Schizosaccharomyces pombe: one gene and its partners. Changing the gene in region 1 together with any one later gene gives a genetic interaction. Each region holds a gene or a part of one and is shown in the gene's direction. Other genes may lie near its edges. The genes, in order: eri1, nap1 and cti6.

Evidence for each region.
Region 2: mutations in eri1 (region 1) and nap1 together harm fitness more than expected from each alone (negative genetic interaction), as found in Schizosaccharomyces pombe (one large-scale study listed by BioGRID).
Region 3: mutations in eri1 (region 1) and cti6 together harm fitness more than expected from each alone (negative genetic interaction), as found in Schizosaccharomyces pombe (one large-scale study listed by BioGRID).

Annotation. Positions count from the first base shown.
Region 1 is NC_003423.3:1,318,928-1,324,171, forward strand, and holds eri1 (double-strand siRNA ribonuclease Eri1), read left to right. Parts: upstream 1-1,792; 5' UTR 1,793-1,812; coding exon 1,813-1,892; intron 1,893-1,969; coding exon 1,970-2,077; exon of another isoform or gene 2,078-2,138; coding exon 2,139-2,544; exon of another isoform or gene 2,545-2,606; coding exon 2,607-2,906; 3' UTR 2,907-3,024; coding exon of another isoform or gene 3,025-3,115; 3' UTR 3,116-3,159; coding exon of another isoform or gene 3,160-3,368; 3' UTR 3,369-3,531; coding exon of another isoform or gene 3,532-4,173; 3' UTR 4,174-4,288; downstream 4,289-5,244. Other genes in the region: transcription factor TFIIH complex subunit Tfb4, read right to left, coding at 611-693, 756-1,566; ERMES complex subunit Mmm1, read right to left, coding at 3,025-3,115, 3,160-3,368, 3,532-4,173; protein Mis19, read left to right, coding at 4,804-5,142.
Region 2 is NC_003421.2:472,788-477,918, reverse strand, and holds nap1 (histone H2A-H2B chaperone Nap1), read left to right. Parts: upstream 1-2,257; 5' UTR 2,258-2,347; coding exon 2,348-3,529; 3' UTR 3,530-4,321; downstream 4,322-5,131. Other genes in the region: GTPase regulator Vps3, read left to right, coding at 1-1,873.
Region 3 is NC_003423.3:511,852-516,667, forward strand, and holds cti6 (Rpd3L histone deacetylase complex PHD finger subunit Cti6), read left to right. Parts: upstream 1-2,303; 5' UTR 2,304-2,364; coding exon 2,365-2,702; intron 2,703-2,872; coding exon 2,873-3,076; intron 3,077-3,120; coding exon 3,121-3,853; 3' UTR 3,854-4,102; downstream 4,103-4,816. Other genes in the region: vacuolar amino acid transmembrane transporter Avt5, read right to left, coding at 1-615; rps29 (40S ribosomal protein uS14), read left to right, coding at 4,591-4,652, 4,704-4,803. UniProt on the Schizosaccharomyces pombe protein: Could be a component of the RPD3C(L) histone deacetylase complex (HDAC).

The DNA of each region.
Region 1 (5,244 bases):
ACCAAGATTCGTAACCTTACTACAATAATCAAACCAATTCATTATAAATTGCATTCATATAGATCTCAATGTAATATAACTTTTCTGATTAAAAAAGCTTAAAAAAAGCCATTGTTAAAATGATCAAGCACCAACATTAGAGATGCAATAGATTATAAACAGTAGAAAGGAAAGTTCCTGTGAAATAATTTCTGTCAGCATCTTCAACATTAATGATTCGTTAGTAAATTAATTAAAGAATAGTATATAATTTCGTCTTACTGCACTGTTTGGAAAAGAAAGAAGCCAATGCAACTTGAAGAAATAATAGAAGAAGCTCTAAGGAAATAAATAATAATAGGGTACGTTGGAATGAATTAGTTGCTTATACGTTAAGTTTCTACTTGTGGATGCCCCTTAAGGAAATAGTTTGATCCTTCCGAAAAATGTTAACATTTCAAGTGTATCAAAATGCCAGAAAGTAAAAATCGCCAAAAAAAAAGAGCTAGACTGTACAAATCACCAGGATAAGGAGATTTAGGTAATGAAAAACAGGGTTTCAAATATGATAAAGCTGTACACCCGGTGTGAGACAAAGAAATATATAGTTTAATAATAATATAACGAATTATCAAGTGTGCAATTTTTTTGACATAGGTTCTACCGTGAATTTGGTATGACAAGTAGAACAATGCACCCGTGGTTCACAAAATACTAAAGAGGTTAGCAAAAGGTCAAATGTTCAAAGCCTATCGTAAAGCTTTGTTACTACTTACTTGATAGACAAACTGAGCAAACAAAGCCAATATCCAAAACCTTTTTGTGGCAAAAACATGTAGCTCGAAAATCAACATTCGCTTGGTTTGGGGTATTTAAGTGTTTTCGAAGATTTTGATCCGGAAAAAGCGACATCATGAGATATTGTAGTAAGCCTTTGGGGTTGTCAACTTTTAAGTAAATCCCTCCTGTGGCATCTGCTGCTTGTTCTAAAAACAGGGTGCCTCCCTCAATGTTGCAAACGTTAATTGGAATATTTTTCTTTTGAGCACAAAATATACAATTCATAGTAGGAATATACTGAAGAGCAACATCACCAGTTAATGAGAAAATTAGAATTCGAGAACGAAGAGTATTTTTATTTTGAACTTGATTGATATATGCAAGGGCTCTAGATAGTGCTCCGGAAATCATCGTTTTTCTTGAAACTTTATCAGTCGAACTCATGAGTCGCTTCATCCCAGATAAAACTAAGTCGTCTACCTCACGAAACTTTCGATACGTATTTGCCTCCTTGGTAGGATCTACTTCTGCGACTTTTTGCTCAGGTGCAATCGAAGGGTATAGGTATTCAACCTTGTCCGAGTGTGAAGCTAACACAGCAACTCTATTATCATGATGAAAAGCTAAGTGTGCGTTTAGAAAAACCGTAATATCTGCCAGTACCTTGGAAACAGGCACTTTTTTGGAAAGGGAGTACCATGAGGCAGGATTTGCGTCTAATATAACTACAAGCAAACTGGGTGTATCATTTGCGTCTTCAGATATATCCCACGAGGCATTTTGTTTCAAAGTTTGAAATTCATCCATCCCTCTTTTTATAATGTGTTTTTTCTCAATGCTTTCCCAACTTTAATACAGGTAGACAACAACCCAGAAAAAGTGTAGGGTTCAAAAAAAGATTGCCAACAAAACAGTGTTATTTCAAAAACATTTATATTCCATTATAATGAAATGGTTTATCTAATGAAATAAAAGGTAAAGTAATTCCAAAAATATAAAAAATTTATGGAGTCGCCAGTGCAGATTTTAGTTTGGCCTTTTCCATGTGACGAGATGAACCAAAAAACACCGTCTACGGTAGAAGAAATTCGTATAGCACTACAAGAACTTGGGTTGAGTACGAATGGAAACAAGTATGTTACTGAAATTGAGAAGCAATTAGTCCGTTTTCTCAGAGTTTATATAAATTAATTATTTACACAGTATAAAGAGAAAAACTGAAACGGCGATGGAAATTTCGTGAAAAACGTCTTGAAGAAAAACGAAAACAAGAACGTTATCAAAAGTTTTCTACTAGTAATGAAAACAAAACTTGTTTGTAGGGTTAAATCATCAATTGTTTAAACATTTTCTATCTAACAGTAACTGAATACTTGTAGACGATACTTGCTAATTGTGGACGTCGAAGCTACATGTGAAGAAGGTTGCGGATTTAGCTTCGAAAACGAGATCATAGAATTACCATGTCTTCTATTCGATTTAATAGAAAAATCCATAATCGACGAATTTCATTCTTACGTTCGCCCATCCATGAATCCTACTTTGTCTGACTATTGTAAATCACTGACAGGAATTCAACAATGCACTGTTGATAAAGCGCCTATCTTCTCAGATGTCTTGGAAGAACTATTCATATTCTTGCGGAAACATTCCAATATTTTAGTTCCCTCAGTTGATGAAATTGAGATTATAGAACCCTTAAAGTCCGTACCCAGAACACAGCCCAAAAATTGGGCCTGGGCTTGTGATGGTCCTTGGGATATGGCGTCCTTTTTAGCCAAACAAGTAAGTGTTAATATAATTTTGTTCGGTTTGTCTCACATTTCGCTAACAAATCGTATTATCAGTTCAAATATGATAAAATGCCAATTCCTGACTGGATCAAAGGACCATTCGTAGATATTAGGTCTTTCTATAAAGACGTTTATCGCGTTCCACGCACAAATATTAATGGAATGCTAGAGCATTGGGGTCTTCAGTTTGAGGGAAGCGAGCATCGCGGAATAGATGATGCGAGGAATTTATCACGAATTGTTAAAAAAATGTGTTCGGAAAACGTAGAATTCGAATGCAATAGGTGGTGGATGGAATATGAGAAGAACGGCTGGATTCCGAATCGAAGTTACCCGCCATATTTCGCAAGCTAATGCTTAAAATTTTTATTTCGACTTCATAATCAATATATTTCGTGGAATCTGGTAGAGATAAATTATCGTTAAAATTCATAGATAAAAAAAATTTCCGAAAATTACGTCAAAAGAATGTTTAATCTTCATTAGATGACTCCTCTTGAGGTGCATGGGACCTCGCATGTCCTTCTTTTGCAGAGGTTGGCCATAGGTTGGGAATTGCGATCCTGTGGGAATTAGTTAGTATGAATCAATTCATACTCTCACTTACTGTTGAAACTGAGGAGAAACACAACGATTAGTAAACCATTGTCGAATCCTTGATTCGATCAATTGTGTAATTTTAGGAATGTCTTGAAGCTTTGACCTAGCTCCCACAAGAGAACTTACTTGTAGCGAGATCACGAAATTGGGGTCAAATGACAAGTTCATATATGCAGGCTGGCCTGCACCATTGCTTGGGGAAAAATAAATCATAATCTAGGACAAATGTTAGAAAAGACCGTTATTAAAAGACGAAAAAAAATAGTCTATCGTAGAATACCACTGTGATACGATTTAACACTTGATGTTTCAAACCCCCGGGGGAGGGGTGTAAAGAATCGTAGAGACTATATACTATTAAGGTTGTAAATAGACTTACCTTTCCGACAAATTTACAAATCCTAACTGTAATGGACAATGGTAAGGTTGCAAACGCAGGCTTTGGAAAATTAAGTAAAAGCTTTGTGTCAACGGTGCAATTAATATTGTCAGTCAGAGAAACAAGCATCTCCGCTCGAAGCTGTGAGGAATTATGCTGATGAGGTAGAACCCGACAATGACTGAAAACCGGAAATCCGTCTCCAAGCGATAAATCTCGCACGTAAATATGATCAACCATAGACTTGTCTTGAGCACCTTTGTTGAGAACAGTTTCAAGTTTTCTCAGGGCAACATCGTTGGAACATGCATCATAGCGAAACTGTATGAGAGCTTGTGCTATTAGTACATTAAACCAATCCAATGATTCCGGCTCATGTTCATTAACATCGTAAAGCAGATTGAGTATATGAGGTTCAAGGATAGTAAGAGGCTTTTTGTACCTTTTTTTGTTATTACTTAAAGGAGTTGAAGGAGTCTCGTCAGGTGTTTCATTCCCCGTTTGTTTTGGAGAGTTTGCTACAGACTTTGGAATTGGACTACAAAATAAAAAGAACCGCAAAAACACATAAATAATGGCCAGTGTCAACAATTGTCCAACTATTAGTCCTTGTGTAAAACTCCCCTGCGGCAGGTGTATCATTTTTGTTCATAAATATACTAAAATACCTCGAATTCGCTAATCCCGAGAATCAAAACCGTAAACGGAAAAATTAGTCTTCGCTCTACAAGAAGAGTATAAATTAAACGTCTCAAATACAAGAGTTAACTGCTTAGTAAGTTGAGGCTTTCTGTAATATATATATATATTTTTTTTTTTTCTTTCTTGTAGGTGGTCTACGTAGCATTTGCAATTACAGAGTTCATTGAGCCTATTTGTTTGAGTCCAAAACCGAAATCAACTAATTAAACTAATGGACTTCAATTAAAAAAGATTATTAGTAAATTCATTAAATAACATGATTTGTTTGAGAAAAGCAACTAATTATATCAAATTATTGACTTTAGATATATAAATCCTTTATGATAATATATATTACATTATGAAATTATAAGAGAATATTACTTTCTTGTACTCTTCACATGTGTATGGCATGCTCATACTCAAGGGTAGGAAATACACTAGTACGCGTTTTACTCTTCCAAAAGGAGTATTAGTTAAAGTATCTTTAATAAACGACAATAATTAGTTATTCTTTCTTTCGTATATTAACGGACTACCTAATTTTCGAAAGTTTCTCCGTCTGTGATATTTTATTAAAATGTTAAGCAAATGGATTTAATGCCGTTAGAAAAAGCAAGAGCAATTGAGATTGCATTTGATAATGTGTTTCATAATACAAAAATTCCGGACAATTTGCAGCAATTTGACGCCATATTGAAACGACTGGAAAGACGGAGATTTATACCAACGGAAAATCAGAAACCAAGAGTGTACGAAACAGAGCTACTTGTACTGCGATTTCGCGAATTTGGGGTGAAAGACAACCATAATCATCCAATAAATCTTCATTCTCTTCGGTCAAAAAGCTTAATCAGGGCACAAGGTAAAAAACTTGATTTACATAATCGAGTATTTCTAAGAAGAAATGTTAGAGCAGTAAAAATGTGATTAGTACCTTTTATACGATAATTTTGATGCATTAGTAACTTACCCAATGTGAACTTTACTGAACTTTATACACAACTTACTACAGAAAAGACTCAATCACTA
Region 2 (5,131 bases), on another chromosome or scaffold:
GACAAGCGTTCATTTTTGTGATCGCCAAATATTTAGTAAATTCTCTGCTGTGAATACTGCGTCTACCTCAAAAACTTCTGATACGATAGAAAGGGCTTCTTTTAGCAAGCCTTCATTTATTTTTCTTACGAATAAATCTTGGGGGTTTGGCGCTGAAGCTCATTTTATGAACAAACTAGAATTCAGTATTACCATAGGCGATATTGAAGCCCCTCTGCGTCGAGTGAGTAAGCGATTGCGGAATCCGAAGAAGTATGGAATAACCAATGATGTCGCTTATCTTCAATCTGCTTATTTGGAGCAAATCTCGGCATTACAGTATTGGAAGCAAGGACAGTATGAAAATTCTCTCTCTTTGCTTGAAACTTCCAAAATTGATCCTCGCGTAGTTATCTCCCTCTATCCAGATCTCTATCATTCGGAGCTTTCCTATATTGCTTTTCAAGGTGTCATTAGTTTTCGCAAAAGCATATTGTCCGTCGATGATACTGTTGCTAATGTTTTAAAATCTAATGAATTGTTTCGTGATACTGATCAATACACTCAGAGACAAATGATTGAAATTACTAAGGAAAACGCATACATCATGTTGATGCGTTATCTGAAAAATTACAAAAAGAACACGAGCATATCTGAGTATCTTTTATCTTCGCAAAGAGACGTGATGCTTGCTGTAGAGCATTCGTTATTACTCCTTTATTTAAATATGGATGATTTAGCCGCCGGTACCAAAAATGCTAAGGAGTTGTTAGAGTCTGGTCTAACTGGTGTTGAAGATATAAAAGATGTGTTGATACAGAAGAAAGAGTATTATTTACTCTCCGTGTTATTGGCTACTGTAAGGGATCACGATGGTGTTCTTCAAACTTGGAAGAAATTAATAACAGGGGATTATGAAGATCGGAGATTCAACGATGGGTTAATTAAAATACGAGAATATTTGGTTAATGATATTGAGCCTTCGACATTCTGGGAATTTACTACATGGCTTTGTAAACACGATGCAACGGAGGGTACGCGCGTTTTGCTTGACAAAACAGTTAGTGGATCCATTTCTGCAGAGGACGTGTTAGAGCATTTGGATTCTTCTCAAGATGATGTTTTGATTGATTACCTTGTAAAGTCGAATTCCGTCACTCATCGAGCGCTACTTTTAAAGTTGTGCGTTAATAAGTTGCTTGGCAGTTTATTGGATCATAACGATTTTAAAAATCGCCTTGAGACTGCCATTGAAACATTTAGGGAGCTTCCTTGCATGGAGAAACCTACGTATGCCCAATACTTGGAACAACTTTGGGGGGACATGAGTGATTTCAGTACTCATCTTTCATTTTACTATTTGTGTTCTATTAATCTGATGGAAAATGTTGAAGAAGAATCTATAGATAAAATAAAAGATATTTTGTTCGACATTCATGTTGACAATTTATATCTATTTCCTCAACTTGAACACTCGTTTTACAAAAGGAAGAAGAATTATGAAAAAGCTTTATCCGTTTTGGTTACGAATATTCATGACTATAAGGGCGGTGAAGCATACTGTCTTCAAATTGATGATGTTTATCCTCAGTGTTGGTGCAATTTGCTCGAAAAATGTATATCAACAGGAGATGGATGTAGTGATTTTATTAAAGAACTATTGTATCGTCGACCCTTTTCTTATACGCTTTCCTACGTGTGCGAGCAAATTCCAGATCATTGGAATCTTAACTTATTAGCAGATTTTTTGTGTATATTGCAAAAAAGAAATGCTGAGCGTTTGAATGAATCCCAAACTCGTTTAACACTTGAGAAGTCGTTGTCTCAAAATTTGGAAGAGTTGTTCATGGCTATTAATCGTCGTAATGTAGCCTTGGGCAAAAACGAAATTTAACCCAGTAACATTTAAAAAGTAACCTTTGGTTCAGCAAAGTTTTTACCTCAATTTTCGATACTTATTCGACTGATGTTTAATTTAATGATAGAATAATTTCAATGAGACAAAAAGATTCTAGCTTCAAAATGTTGTTAGAATATAAAGGGCTTTCTTCTACAGTTAATTCAGCTCTTCCTGATCTTTACTAGTCTTAAAAATATAAATAATATTAACTATGAGCCTAAATTCATCGAATTTTATTTTTAAAAACCCCCTTCGGGAATAAAGAAAGTGTCCGTAACACAACGATGCACTGTTCACTAAGGTCGGAAACCCCGAGGATGAGCTCGGAAGTTCCGCGGGTAGGTAGATTCCCAGGGTGCAGCAAATATTCTTACACTTAGCTTCTACCACTACCCTTCCCAGTGTTATTAAAAGGACGTACGGAAAGCGTCTGAAGCATAATTGATTGCTGGAACAAGTAGAATTAATATGGTAGAGAACGTTAATATTAATAACAAAAGGGCCGGAAAAATGTCTGCCGCCCCAACTCCCCATAACACCCCATCGGGGACGAGCGCTCCCAACTTTGGTGCGAAGGCTCCTCAAGTAAATACTATTGACGAAGGAGATGAGAATTTAGAGGCTATCGACGGAAAATTGGGTTCTTTATTACATCTCACTTCAGAAGGAGTTTCAGAATTGCCTGAAGCCGTGCAAAGAAGGATTTCTGGACTTCGTGGTTTGCAAAAGCGATACAGCGACTTGGAGTCTCAATTCCAAAAAGAGCTGTTTGAGTTGGAAAAAGCTTATGCAAAGAAGTACGCACCTATTTTTAAGAGAAGATCTGAGGTTGTTCGTGGCGCTGACGAACCTACCGAGGAGGAAATTAAGAAGGGTGAAGCTGCCGATGAGAACGAAAAGAAAGAACCTACTTCTTCTGAGTCTAAGAAACAAGAAGGTGGTGATGATACTAAGGGTATTCCTGAGTTCTGGTTGACCGCTATGAAGAATGTTTTGTCTTTGTCTGAAATGATTACTCCCGAAGATGAAGGAGCTTTAAGTCACCTTGTGGATATTCGCATTTCCTATATGGAAAAGCCTGGTTTCAAATTAGAATTTGAATTTGCTGAAAACCCATTCTTTACTAACAAGATTCTCACCAAAACTTATTATTACATGGAGGAATCTGGCCCGTCCAACGTTTTCTTGTATGATCATGCTGAGGGCGATAAGGTTGATTGGAAAGAAAATGCCGATTTGACTGTTCGTACCGTTACTAAAAAGCAACGCAATAAAAACACTAAACAAACTCGTGTCGTAAAGGTTTCCGTTCCTCGTGACAGTTTCTTCAACTTTTTTAATCCCCCAACTCCTCCATCTGAGGAAGACGAAGAATCGGAGAGCCCTGAATTGGATGAATTGTTGGAACTTGACTATCAAATCGGTGAGGACTTCAAAGAGAAACTCATTCCTCGTGCCGTTGAGTGGTTTACTGGTGAGGCTTTAGCTCTTGAAAACTATGACGGATTCAGCGACTTAGATGTTGAAGAGGATGAAGATGATGTTGAATCCTCTTCTAACGAAGAAGTTTCCGATTCCGATGAGGAGGACAGTGATAGCAAGCACACTGCTCATGGCCAGCAAAACGCTGCTGAGTGCCGTCAGCAATAAACAATTTCGATAATGTGCATATATTATGGGGTTAATAACAATGGGTTTTCTGTGTTTTGACTAAAGGAAAGATACTTGAAAAGTATGATTCTTGAGGTTTTCATGCAACATTTGTAAACCTTTTGTTGTACAGGATAGGTTCGGACCACATGTGAGTGCTTGCGGACGAGATTCTGCAAGTTTATAAAGTTTTTAAATATCTTCCAATTTATCGAGTTTTTTTCGTTTATCAAATAAAAATGCTTACAGTCGACGTGTTTTATTTTTTACTGGAATTGGTGGTTTTGAGATGAATGGCTTTAAAAGACCTAAACGACATCGTCTACATAATGGGAGGTGTGATCGTTCTTGGCGAATTTTCCGAGTTTCTAGTTTGAGTACGAAAGCCTTTAAAGATTTTGGAATGCTTATATTTGATCAATCATGATGAAAACGCTCGGACAAACTTGGACGTTTTAATATTTTCTTGCCTTTTTTTTCAATCAAATGCTTGCGAAAAGAACTAGTGATAGTTTTTTATTGTTAGTTTAGACCAAGTTGAAAACACTGACTGTAAAAATTGACCTTTAGTAAAGCTTAAAAAAGAGAACCCTTTTTACGAGCTTTTCTAGAAAATAATGCTTTGTTTTGACTTAGAAGTAAGCAATTGAGAATTCATAGTATGAATGGGTTGCATCCTAGTTAGTCTACTCTACCCAAGAAGTTGGGAAGGTATAACTAAACCCGATGTGTTTACATAAAAGGCTATTTCGAAAGAAATGAGTGTCAAAGTTTATCAAAAATACGATTTGTTTTTTTTTCGTTTTTTTAGACATAAAGAAGCTTGCAATTCTTGGAGTAAGAAGGAAACTAAAAAAATGCGGAGCGCATTGTAAAAGAGTGTTCGGTTGTTATAGTAAGTTCGTCTAGCGTTTAACAGATACCAGTTTTGTTTTTTAAAGTTAGAATCATCAAATAATGGAGATGATTACAATTGGGATGGAGGATTGCATACTACAATTTATCTTAGTCTAAATTTAAAGCATATTTGACATATCTCTTACAACATCTAATATTTTAATTTTAATACTTGCCTTAAATATATTATAGCTTTTATAATTTTCGACTTAGACACTATGCCTGAGTGGTTAAAGGGACAGACTAGAAATCTGTTGCGGTCTCCGCGCGCAGGTTCAAATCCTGCTGGTGTCGAAAATTTTTGGCAATTTTTATATTGAAAATTCTTTATATTCATTTGCAACTTAAGAATGTTTTTAGTATATAATGCAAAGGTCCTAAATAAAACAGCGTCCAATTTGATGGAATGCGTTTAGTTGTATAATATTGTTGCAGCAATTTGGTGGACTCAAAACACTGAAAGTCAATTCAAATTTAACTAAGCTCATGTGATATATCAGATTTGTTTGATTTATTATTTTTCCTCGTAAGTTTTAATAAAATGGATTCTACAAATGATCTATCAAAGGTACAAAGAAATAAAATCCAGCTAGCTACTACTAAAGGAAACAAATAATTTTAAAGTAGGGAAAACACACAAGTTATAGTAAATAAAAAAGAAAGAAAGAATAAATAAATAAATTAGTTGGGATACAAAAATAAAAA
Region 3 (4,816 bases), 810 kb from region 1:
ATAGCCAAAGCCAGACTCAGGAACAAAGTAGCGGATTTCTCCTTTTACAGTATCCCCGATGATAAAATGATACAAAACAATAAACACAAGGTAACAAAGAGCTATAAGGCTGATCACAGACGTATGCCGTAAAGAATCCAACCTCTTAAGAAACGAGAGTGGAGTAAGCACGAAAAGCGCAAAGACAATCCATGTTTGGCGCCTAAGGAACATTGGAGAAGAGAGACCAAGTGATGGAGCAATTTGGGGCATTAAATCGCCTACAATAACCAAATAGCTTACCGCTACACCGAAGCATTTAACAGCAATAGAAGCGTCAAAGACAACAGCCAAAGAGGGAAAGGTGTGCTTGGCAACAGCAGCAAATGAAGCCTTTCCCCTCGGGAGTCGTGCGGCGCATTGGGAAACAAAATATAATCCTAAAAAAGAAGCGAATGCACTAAAGACGATGGTCAAACACCCAAACAACAGACCAGTCTTGGTAAACGCATTTGGTAAGGAAAGAATTCCAGCTCCCAAAATAGTATTGGCAAGGTTGATAACCGAAGAAAAGAACCCAGCTTTTCCAATATGGACGTCTGCTGGTCCAGAAGACAAAGGACTATACCCAGACATAAATTAACCCAAACTAGGAATAGAGAAAAAATCTAGGAAGCTATAAAATTGGTGTTTTTAGGAACCAACTTTACGAATTACAATTAAGTACTAAGCGTATGAGTATGCAAACTGATCGATTTTTTGGAAGAATCGTTCAAGAAAGTTATTTTAAAAGAAAATAAGAACTATGCAATATAAAAAAAATGGTTCTAAACAAATAATAGAACGTGGAATAAAAAACGCCTGAGAAATCGTAGAATAGAAATCAGCAGACAAAAAGAGACCAGCTCGATAAATTAAATTGTAGAATCTATTCAGAAGCCCGATAAATAATAGGAAAAATTATAGTACACGATGTATTAAAGCACCTTCCCAGCTGTACGAGTGGAATGCTCGTTCTTGGTTGTTAAAAGAGATGAAATTACGATATACAGATGCGATATCGCTCTACTCTGGTTTGCCAGCAGATATAAAAGCAATGAAATATTATTTCTTTTCTTACTATTACTAAAAAAATTGTTAATATTTATCACTATCATCTCAATTAATGAGTGACATGAGAAATTTATACCAAAATAGATATTTGTGGCACACGAATATTTTACCAACTTGAACACAGTATTAGCAGTAAATTAGAGAATTTTGTAAATTCTGTAGAAATAAAACGAATTTTTCATAGACATATATTTATATCAATAGAGCATTCGAAGTGGTGGAAGAGCATACAATTGATTTTTTCATCGAATAAATTTCAATAAAAAGAGAAAATTTAGAATTATAACAATTTCTCACTGTCAAACGTTGATCACAAGGATATAAATAGTTTTTTATTTTATTTCATAAGTATCTAGTCAGTTGAATATAGTATCGAAGAAAAATACAATCAAATTTCATTGTTTTGTTCATGAATTCCCGGTGAACCGAGTAGCAGTTGCTTTTCTGACATTGCGAGGAAAAAGCCTTTTTTAAAATGTAAGATGTTTTTTAGTTTCAAAATATGCACATACGCCATTCTAAAGATTGCAGGAACATCGTAAAATGCGAATACATGGAGATAATACCAAATATCATGTCGATATTACAAAACCTCTTTTAATTTATAAAAGCAGCAGCACCTTACAGAAATGATTTCACAACCTTCATAATACAGCTTATAATAATATGCATTCCCAAATCAAGTCAATTCTCATTTCAATAATAATTAGTACAGAGAGATAGCATAAAAAGTGGGTCAAACAAACCATACGTTTAATTATATGAAGTTTGAGATGAACATATAAGTTTCTTAATCTAATTCAACAGTGCTAAAGCTTTAGGAGACTTAAATAACCATTCCCAGACAAACCAGGTTCTCCGATGGTCAAGGGCAAATCAACGGGCAAAATGGGCCTATAAAAAAATGAAAGGTGTTAAACTGTTTATGTTTACAAAGATAATTGGGTTTTTATCAATTTTTTTTAATTAACTATCATTTCAATGCATTGGCAGTCTCCCTCTGGGCTTGAATCCTAGAATCCAACGTTTTTGCCATTCAACTATTTAACTATTACCAAAGTGCCATTACGACTTTGACCAAAAACATTCAATCACTAAATGAATATAAAAAAACAAATTTCCCATACATTAATTACTTAAAGCGTGAAGTTTCAGCAATTCGCGATATATTTCATTGATGTTGTAGTTGGTAAATGTATTACCTATCTTCCAATCCTTCACCATTCCCCAAGCGCACAGCACAATTTTTTAATAAAACGATTATTATACATTATGCCGAGTAATTCAACTCCCGCTAATGAAGAAAAAGAGGAAGAGTCTGAAAAAATTCAGAAATCTCCCGTAGACACACCCCACACGCCTAATGGCTCAGTTTCCGATAATGAAGAGAATGAAACATCGAGTACTGGAGAAGTAACCCGCTGTGTTTGTGGAATTGTCGAATCCGACGATGAAGCTAGTGACGGGGGGCTGTATATTCAGTGCGATCAATGCTCAGTTTGGCAACATGGGAACTGTGTGGGATTTGCTGATGAATCAGAAGTTCCCGAGGTATATTATTGCGAAATATGCCATCCAGAATTCCATAAAGTATATCAAAGGGGCAGAGGGTAAGTGTTGATAACAGATGAGCTTAAGGATTTAAAATGGATTTACCACTGAATACCTAATGCTTTAAACTAATTGCAGTGGTTTCCAAATATCTCCATTTTATTCTTTTTTCTCTTCTAGCAATTAAAAAAATTGGGTTTTTCAACTATTGTTACTAACTTCGCCGCAGGGCTAAACAATCAAAGTATCTTGGAAATGGAAAACCTATAGAAGCCAGTCAAACAGAAGAATCTTCATCTACTCCCCCATCTCCGGCAACCAAAAAGTCGTCTAAGCAACGTCTTACTATGAATTCCAGAGACGCCGCTCTTGATTATGAAGAGTATCTTGCAATTGCTAAGGAAAAGTCACTAATACCGAGGAGATCTAGAGGGTATGGTCATTGATATTCATAGATGATATACTAACTGTTTTTAGGCGAACTTCATCGAAGTCTCTTTCTCCACCAGCTCCCCAAGATGAATCGCAAGGAACCGAAATAAATTTAAAACAAAAAATTGAAGAAGAGAATGATGAAATTTTAGAAGATAGTAAGGAGTCGAAGGACGAAAACGAAGAGAATAAAGAAACCTCTACTACTAATGTCGCTGAAACGGATGCCCCTGAAGAAGAAACTGTAGATACGGTTGAGGAGATTGCTGATGAAGAAAAGCACTCAGTAAAAGAGGAGTCTGGAGAAGCATCCCCTCAAAGCTCACAACAATCTACCATTACTTCTATTTCGACCACTACTCGGTCAACGCGAAAAGCTAAACGTGAAGCAGCGGCAGAAGACAAAGCGGATCTTCCAGCAGCTGTCGCACCGAAGCCTTCAAAAACAAGAAAGGTGGGAGGAAGAAGAGGAAAATCTAGTTCGAACGATAATCACCGAATTCCTCAATTACATCCGGATGGAACGTTCGTAGAGACCATAACCAAGCCTAAGGGATTGCACTCAAGAATCACTATGACTGAGATGCGGCGAAGAGTTGCCTCTATGCTAGAGTATATTGGACATATTCAAGTTGAAATGGCAGCTCAGTCTGCTGGTAATCAATCATCCACAAAGTCATCGAAAGAAGGCCCAGAAGAAGAGAAGGAAACTCTTAGGATGGTAGACAATCTCACCAGGGATTTATTGCATTGGGAACAACGATTCAGTCGAACTTGATGATGCTGTGTACTGTGTGAATTTACATCAGTAATATTAAAAAAAAGAAGCAAAGGAAGAAAAAAGGAGAAAGATGTGTTCAATTGAACATGTCAACATACATATATTTTTACTTTTTTATGATCTAATGGTTTCCTTTGTTGATTTATGATAGATATTTTGATAAAGATTTAGAGTTCCTTTGATGAGAGGGATATAATTTTTGTTTGGTTAATTGAAGAAATATAATTTATTATTATTTACAGGTTAAACTTTTGTATATTTTTTGAAATGAGCTATGTTTTTCGAGTACACCGATTTCCAAGTGAATGAGTAAAAACGTTCAAAAGTACTCACTAATTTAATAAATACAAGAGGTTTTGAAACTAAAAAAAAAAAAAAAAATCAAACGTAGAAAACACCACAATAACTACTTTCTGAAGGAAAATCCATCTTTCATTAAGTGCCTATTAAACCAGCTACAATATAATGTTATATAAGGCTTGGTACTGGAGAGGAAAAAAATAAATCCTGATTATTCCATCAATTGAACAAATATTTTAACTAAGTGTCTAATGAAAACAATTTCTACTTAAAAAATAGTACTATACATACTTTATTTACATTGTTGAGCACAATGTCAAATAACGAAATGCATTGTATTTCTCTATATTAGCCCTACCCTATGCCTAGAAGAGCAGTCACGACTTTCGTCTAGTAGAAGAAACGCTTGAAACAATCTCTACCTTCACACCAAAATGGCCCACGAAAACGTTTGGTTCTCTCACCCTCGCAAGTACGGAAAGGGCAGCAGACAATGGTAAGCAAGCATCTTTTTTATACACGAGTGATGTATTAATTCATAATTTAGCGCTCACACTGGTCGTCGTCTCGGTTTAATCCGCAAGTACGGTTTGAACATCTCTCGTCAAAGTTTCCGTGAGTACGCCAACGACATTGGTTTCGTTAAGGTAAGAGAATTTT